2 linked regions of the Saccharomyces cerevisiae S288C genome follow. The protein of the gene in region 1 interacts with the protein of each later gene in a biochemical or structural test. Each region holds a gene or a part of one and is shown in the gene's direction. Other genes may lie near its edges. The genes, in order: HSH155 and CUS2.

The links.
Region 2: the proteins of HSH155 (region 1) and CUS2 form a complex in vitro, tested with the Saccharomyces cerevisiae proteins (one study listed by BioGRID).

Annotation. Positions count from the first base shown.
Region 1 is NC_001145.3:843,458-849,115, forward strand, and holds HSH155 (U2 snRNP complex subunit HSH155), read left to right. Parts: upstream 1-2,113; coding exon 2,114-5,029; downstream 5,030-5,658. Other genes in the region: DSS1 (exoribonuclease II), read right to left, coding at 1-1,888; aminodeoxychorismate lyase ABZ2, read left to right, coding at 5,228-5,658. UniProt on the Saccharomyces cerevisiae protein: Contacts pre-mRNA on both sides of the branch site early in spliceosome assembly.
Region 2 is NC_001146.8:93,673-96,869, forward strand, and holds CUS2 (U2 snRNP complex subunit CUS2), read left to right. Parts: upstream 1-1,550; coding exon 1,551-2,408; downstream 2,409-3,197. Other genes in the region: SEC21 (coatomer subunit gamma), read left to right, coding at 1-1,129. UniProt on the Saccharomyces cerevisiae protein: U2 snRNP protein which helps to refold U2 into a structure favorable for its binding to SF3b and SF3a prior to spliceosome assembly. Mediates functional interactions between U2 RNA and PRP5.

The DNA of each region.
Region 1 (5,658 bases):
CAACAGAGAAGGATATAGTTTTCGTCCTTTGTCCTTGTTTCCCCAAATCTGATAAGTGACAAATAGATTGAGGTAACATAGGAACAACCGTATCTGGTAAATATGTGGTAAATGATCTTTTCAAGGCAACATTTAGGATATCTGTACTTATACCCTCAATATCAACATTAGTGCTTTCCGGAAACATAGAAGTTGGATCCGCAATATGAATATATAAAGTGTACAGTCCATCTCTACCATAGTTTTTCACCGACACGCCGTCATCAATCTCATGCGCAGTTTCAGAGTCTATACAAAAAACCCTAAGATCGCCAAAATCGTACCTATCGTCATCAGTGCCGGATTTTTTCCATTGCAATTCTTCTATATTAGTTAAGTCGTAGAGTTTTTGTTGCCATTTCACTAACTTCGAGGAAGCAGGTAATGCTAAATCCATGTTAAGTAACAATGGATTGGGTATTGAGTTGGGTGTTATCTCATTGATTAAATCTTGACATATATCTCTTGTGATGTCACAATCCTTATAGCGTTCTATCTTTCTGAATATTTTTGAGATCAAAGCTACTATAATTCCGTTATTGTGAAAATTCCCAGCAGCAAAATCTTTCAATAATTGGATCACAGAAGGATATAAAGCTGATATATCGCGATATTTCCTTTCATTCACCAATTTTACAAACTTATTGACCTCTCTATAACTGTTGGCTTCTAGCTTCTCTATCACCTGCGCATAATATAAATGTTGTGATTTTAAGGGAATAATCGTTACTGATATAGGCGACAGCAACGCTGTATTCAGATGGATTTCCCCCCAAAGGTTCGATTCCTGTTGTTGCATAATCGCCCAGTACGTGGAAACAAAGGTAGGTGAATTTATTGGTATATCGTTTACAGTGTGATAGTTATTAACTAAACTAGTTAAGTAATTTATTCCATTTTTATCGTCCAAGGCTTTATTTAAATCCAATTTCTGAACTAATCCGACTAGGGTAAAAAAAGGAATCTGCCATGGACCCATATAATTTTGTAATGATCTGTGGAGTAACTGTAATTTTTTGGTAGTAATGGGCAAATCTTTCCAGGCCAACTTTGAAATTTGGGCTGGATACCTACTTGTTATTAGCTGCCTTGCTACAATAGGCAAAATATTCGTTTGGTTAGAAAAGTTCTTAACGGTTCCAATTGGCAAATGTTTGTGATGGCTCTCAGGCTGTATAAGTGAATGGATTCCAGCAGGTAATTTGTGAGGAATCCTCAATAACACCCGGTTTTTGGTCGCAAAGCACATAGTTCCATCAATAGTAACAAAAGTGTATCGAGGATCCATAGTGCTACTTGGAAGACTTACACACATCGCCAATTCATTGGGTCTCATTTTTAAAAGAACAAAGTCACCAACATTTAAGGGACTTTCCATTAGCTGAACAGGTTGAAATTCCATTGGGTTTGGAGCTTTCAGTTTTGTTATTAATTGAAAATCTGAATTTATTAACTTGTAAAGCGGAATTTTTGGTTTTGTTAAAGACCTCCAGGAGTTTACGTACCAATCTTCGGAAGGTTTAACATACCTATCTTTATAACGTTGGTTAAATTCCTGTTTAATTTGAGGCAGTTGTTTTAATTCAATATCAGGCTCTAATCCTTTTGTTCGTTGCAGAAAGTCTTTGTTTATTGATTCTATATCTTTCTCCGGTCCAACCGAACGGTCTACAACTGTCTCTGTAGCTTGATCATTATCTAGCTCTCGTGTGTGATCTAGTTCTACTTTTGCTTGCTGCTTACTCTTACTTCGCTGTCGTTTGCCTCTGGTAGTTACTCTGAAGCAAGGTGTGTAGGAATGAAAGCTCCTTGCAATTAGAAGAACATGTACTTTCCGCCTAACTACCATCACCTGTCTTTATTTATTCCGCTGACAGATATGCACAACCAATTATCGTCTCTTGAAAGCTTTTTAGACGTGATTGCTGTTATTTGGCACGTTGTTAGTATTTAAGCTTATTCGGGTTTGCATTGATATTTGCCCGAGCAGAAATCTCCTTCTCGATGAGTTAGAACTGAAACATCTCTTCAATTACTTATACATAATAAACATAGAAAGCCAGGACCTGTCATCATGAGTCATCCGATTCAATTTGTAAACGCTAATAATAGCGATAAGAGCCACCAATTAGGCGGTCAATATTCTATTCCTCAGGATTTGAGGGAAAACCTGCAGAAAGAAGCTGCACGTATTGGTGAGAACGAAAAAGATGTGCTACAGGAAAAAATGGAAACTAGGACAGTGCAAAATCGAGAGGATTCATACCACAAAAGAAGGTTTGATATGAAGTTTGAGCCGGATTCCGATACACAAACTGTTACGTCTTCAGAAAATACCCAAGACGCTGTCGTGCCAAGGAAAAGAAAATCTCGTTGGGATGTAAAAGGGTACGAGCCACCTGATGAATCTTCAACAGCGGTCAAAGAAAACTCTGATAGTGCTTTGGTTAATGTAGAAGGAATCCATGATTTGATGTTTTTTAAACCTTCTGACCATAAATATTTCGCCGACGTTATATCCAAAAAACCCATAGATGAGTTAAATAAGGATGAAAAGAAAGAAAGAACCCTGTCGATGTTACTTCTGAAAATAAAAAATGGCAATACAGCGAGTAGGAGGACTTCTATGCGGATTTTAACCGATAAAGCTGTTACATTTGGTCCAGAAATGATATTTAACCGCTTATTGCCCATATTACTAGACAGAAGTTTGGAAGACCAGGAAAGACATCTAATGATCAAGACCATAGATCGCGTCCTTTACCAGCTAGGAGATTTAACAAAACCTTACGTTCACAAAATACTTGTAGTAGCTGCCCCATTGCTAATAGATGAAGATCCAATGGTTCGTTCAACAGGCCAGGAGATAATCACCAATCTGTCTACAGTCGCTGGCCTAAAAACCATTCTAACAGTAATGAGACCTGATATTGAGAATGAGGATGAGTATGTTAGAAATGTAACTTCAAGAGCGGCGGCTGTGGTGGCAAAAGCCCTTGGTGTTAATCAATTGCTTCCTTTCATCAATGCAGCATGCCACTCACGGAAGTCTTGGAAAGCAAGGCATACTGGCATAAAAATTGTGCAGCAAATAGGTATACTTTTGGGAATAGGTGTCTTGAATCATCTTACTGGGCTGATGAGTTGTATCAAAGACTGCCTAATGGATGATCACGTTCCGGTGCGAATTGTTACAGCACATACTTTATCAACACTAGCAGAAAATTCTTATCCATATGGTATCGAAGTTTTCAACGTTGTACTGGAGCCATTATGGAAGGGTATAAGAAGTCATCGTGGTAAAGTGCTATCTTCTTTTTTAAAAGCTGTTGGATCTATGATCCCATTGATGGACCCAGAGTATGCCGGTTATTATACCACAGAAGCAATGAGAATAATTAGACGTGAATTCGACTCTCCCGATGATGAAATGAAAAAGACCATTCTTTTAGTATTACAAAAATGTAGCGCTGTAGAATCCATAACGCCAAAATTTCTGAGAGAAGAAATCGCGCCAGAATTCTTTCAAAAATTTTGGGTCAGACGAGTGGCATTGGATAGACCATTAAACAAAGTTGTTACATATACTACTGTTACATTAGCAAAGAAATTAGGTTGTTCTTATACCATTGATAAATTATTAACACCATTGAGAGATGAAGCTGAGCCGTTCAGAACAATGGCTGTCCATGCTGTTACTAGAACAGTAAACTTATTAGGGACAGCAGATTTAGATGAGAGATTAGAAACGAGGCTTATTGATGCGCTCTTGATAGCATTTCAAGAACAAACAAATAGTGATTCTATAATCTTTAAAGGGTTTGGGGCAGTGACGGTGTCACTTGACATCCGTATGAAACCGTTTTTAGCACCCATTGTGAGTACGATTTTAAATCATTTAAAGCATAAAACTCCCTTGGTTCGTCAACATGCAGCAGATCTATGTGCCATACTAATACCAGTCATCAAGAACTGTCACGAATTCGAAATGTTGAATAAATTGAACATTATATTGTATGAATCCTTAGGCGAAGTATATCCAGAGGTATTAGGTTCTATAATCAACGCTATGTACTGTATTACTAGCGTAATGGATTTGGATAAACTACAACCTCCTATTAATCAAATTTTACCAACCTTAACTCCAATTTTAAGAAACAAGCATAGAAAAGTCGAAGTAAACACTATCAAATTTGTTGGACTTATTGGTAAATTAGCACCTACCTATGCACCTCCTAAAGAATGGATGAGAATATGTTTTGAACTATTAGAACTTTTGAAAAGTACAAATAAAGAAATAAGAAGATCAGCAAATGCCACGTTTGGATTCATTGCTGAAGCAATTGGACCTCACGATGTTCTTGTTGCGTTATTGAACAATTTAAAGGTTCAAGAACGTCAGTTACGTGTATGCACGGCTGTTGCTATCGGTATCGTTGCTAAAGTGTGTGGTCCTTACAACGTGCTGCCAGTAATCATGAATGAATACACAACACCAGAGACTAATGTTCAAAACGGTGTTCTCAAGGCCATGTCATTCATGTTTGAGTACATTGGTAACATGTCTAAGGATTACATATACTTCATAACACCATTATTAGAAGATGCACTCACCGATAGGGATTTAGTTCATCGTCAGACAGCGTCGAACGTAATAACCCACTTAGCTTTAAACTGTTCAGGTACAGGTCACGAAGATGCCTTCATTCATTTAATGAATCTTCTAATACCCAATATTTTTGAAACTTCACCACATGCTATTATGCGTATTTTAGAAGGTTTGGAGGCACTGAGTCAAGCTCTTGGCCCTGGACTATTCATGAACTACATATGGGCAGGATTGTTCCATCCAGCGAAGAATGTAAGGAAAGCATTTTGGAGGGTGTATAATAACATGTACGTAATGTACCAGGACGCCATGGTACCTTTTTACCCCGTTACACCAGACAACAATGAAGAATATATAGAAGAACTGGATTTAGTTCTGTGAATATATATAGAGCATATAAATAACCACAACTTGTAAGAATATTTTACTTGACACACCTATATCATCACGTCACGATGCCTTCATAGATTATGATGAAATATAAACAGAACCTGCTATTGGAAAAAAAAGGGCAGGAAAAAATTTTGTGAAAGTGAGTAAAAGAAAGATGAAGAGCGAGACATGGATAATAAGAAATAGATGTCACTAATGGACAATTGGAAGACTGATATGGAAAGTTACGATGAAGGAGGCCTAGTTGCTAATCCGAACTTCGAGGTTCTGGCCACTTTCAGGTACGACCCTGGTTTTGCACGCCAGTCAGCGTCAAAGAAAGAGATCTTTGAAACTCCAGACCCTCGATTAGGTTTGAGAGACGAAGATATTAGGCAGCAGATAATTAATGAGGATTACTCAAGTTATTTACGAGTAAGGGAGGTTAATTCCGGCGGTGACCTTCTCGAAAATATTCAGCATCCTGATGCTTGGAAGCATGATTGCAAGACCATTGTGTGCCAGCGTGTAGAAGATATGCTACAAGTCATTTATGAACGATTTTTTTTATTAGATGAACAATACCAAAGAATAAGAATAGCATTATCATACTTTAAAATTGACTTCAGCACGTCTCT
Region 2 (3,197 bases), on another chromosome or scaffold:
GAATAAAGATGATGTTATAGCACAAAATCTAATCGAATCCAAATATTTTTACGATATTCCATCATTAGAGTCAAAATTAAGTTCTTACATTTCCTCAAATACTGATTCATTTGCAACTGCATTTGATGTGAATCAAGTTCGTAAGTTTACTGAGGATGAAATGAAGGCAATAAATCTGAAGAGAAAGCAAGAACAAATTTTCAATCAAAAGTCTGAAACCACTTTGGATACTACACCAGAGGCAGAGAGTGTTCCAGAAAAAAGAGCTGACGCTAATTCATTTGCTGGTCCAAACTTGGACGACCACCAAGAAGATCTACTAGCTACTAAGTACGCTGACGAATTGCTATCCATTGAACAAATTAAACCATTTGGTCAATTAGTAAATAGTTCTAGGGCTATCTCATTAACTGAGCCAGAAGCAGAATTCGTTGTACGTGGTGTCAAACATCTCTTCAAAGACAATGTTGTTTTACAATTTAATATTACGAATACTCTGACGGATATTGCCCTAGACAATGTTTCTGTAGTCTGTACCCCTGAAATTTCTGATGAAGCTGAATTAGAAGAGCTATTCACCCTACAAGTGGACAGATTATTACCATCCGAGGAAGCAGCTTGTTACGTTGCATTCAAAAAACTTGATGAAATTGTAATGGAAGGTTTCTTGAACAACTTAACATTCACTACAAAAGAAATAAACCCTGACACTAATGAGCCATTTGATGGTGATGAAGGTTTCCAAGATGAATATGAAATTGACTCGATTTTCTTGAATGCTGGTGATTATGTTAAGAGTTCTTTCACTGGTAACTTCTCCGCTACATTTGATGAGTTGCCATGCGAAGAAGTTGCTGTTTTCAACATTCAAGAAGATTTATCCATACAAGAAGTAGTAGATAAGATTATTTTGAACAGTAGCTGCTTACCGGTGGAAAGTACCCAATTTGCTCCAAGTGATTCAAACTCCCACACCTTGAAATTATTTGGTAAGAGTGCTTTAACTGGATCTAAAGTAGCCCTACAGATTAAGATGATCAAGAGTTCGAAAGGTCTTGCTTTGAAAGTTCATGGTAAAGGTGAAGACAGCTTATTATGCTCTGATCTGGTGAATGGTCTAATGCAGTAAGCTGTGAAATTTTATTTCAGTTAATCCCTTCTTTTGTTATCAATAGTATTAAAAGAAATGCGTCAGCTTTAGCAAGCGTGCATGCAAATAAGGGAATGAACAGCAAGAACAATAATAAACCAAAAAAATCACGGATAGAATATGACGGATCATCACCACACGAAGAATAAATTATGTAATCTTTGTATAAACAAAATTTTTAAAGAAAAATACTATAATAGTTTGACAAGAGAAAACGAAATGGAAGAAACAGGACAACAGGGCAGAAAAAAGTTGACATTATGCAATTGATGAAAGAAGAAGAAGAAAAAAAACAAAAAAAAAGCACTAGTCTGACCAGGCATATTGTAAAAGGCTGCAGACCCTTGAACGCACTACACTTTTCACTGTATTCCGTTACCAACATTACTGTTTGACAGCGATGGATGCTGATGAATTGGAATTGAAAGGTCATTTGAAAAAATTGAAAAAAGAAGAATTGCTTAGAAGGAAACAGTTAAAAGAGAGTAATCTTCAGAAAAGAGAGCTTGAATATAATAATGCCTCAAAAAATACTTCAATATATATTTCTGGTCTTCCCACAGACAAAACAACGAAAGAAGGACTCACTGAGCAGTTTTGCAAGTATGGAATGATAAGAACCAATCGAGATGGGGAACCCCTTTGCAAGCTATATGTGAATGATAAAGGCGCTTTCAAAGGGGATGCCTTGATCACTTATTCCAAGGAAGAAAGTGTTACATTAGCAATCGAAATGATGAACGAGTCGATCTTCCTGGGAAAACAGATCAGGGTCGAAAGAGCCCAATTTCAAAACAAGGAAGGTGACAATATGCACGGGAAAGAAAATGATTTAAAGGAGTTCAACGGACCTGAGCCTCCAATAAAGAGGCTAAAAAAAGCGAAGTCTGAAGGGGAGGGGGAAGTAATAGATTACAATGACGATGAAAGCCTAGCAAAAGCTGATCGAACGGTGATATTTGCCAACGTATTCAATATTTACAAATCATACACAAATGATGATATAAATGATATTCAGGAAGATCTTTTGGAAGGCTGTGAAGAGATAGGTCAAGTAGACAGTATATCTGTATCTCCCAATAAGGGGGAAGCGACGGTCGTCTTTAAGAACAATAAAGTTGCATTGCAATGTTGCAAAATCATGACCGGACGTTATTTTGATGGGCAAAAGTTGCTTGCTTTCATTTCTGGAGATGAGAACACTTCAAGCACAAGTGACAAGAATGAGGACAGCGAAGTGGAAGATGACCTTATATAGAACTGCAGTAAAAAAATGTATTACCCCCATATCTTTGGTACTTAAGTAAAATAAGTGAACACAATGTAATAAACAGAATGGATTAGGGCTTTATGACTTCCCAGTACAAAATAAATGTCGATATAATACTTGAAAATGCAAGCAATGCCATCAAAAAATTTGAGCGGTACGAGAATCGAACCCGTGTCCCCACCTTGGAAGGGTGGGATGATAACCACTACACTAACCGCCCATGTGTTGGATGGTGTAACTGTAATGACGAGGTAATAAGTGATGGCGACTATATCACCACCGAAACACAGCGATTACTTAAAAGGGTAATCACTACTGCGATTCTAATTGTTGGAATAAACCAAACCTCTTCCGATAATGTTGGAACGAGAGTAATTAATAGTGACATGTGTTGCTATGGTAACAATCTAATGCTTACATCGTATATTAATGTACACCTCGTATACGTTTAAGTGTGATTGCACCTATTGCAGAAGGAATGTTAAACGAGAAGCTCAGACAATACTGAAGCTGTGTTTGAGAAATGGGTGAATGTTGAGATAATTGTTGGGATTCCATTGTTGATAAAGGCTATAATATTAGGTATACAGAATATACTAGAAGTTCTCCTCGAGGATATAGGAATCCTCAAAATGGAATCTATATTTCTACATACTAATATTACGATTATTCCTCATTCCGTTTTATATGTTTCATTATCCTATTACATTATCAATCCTTGCACTTCAGCTTCCTCTAACCTCGATGACAGCTTCTCATAACTTATGTCATCATCTT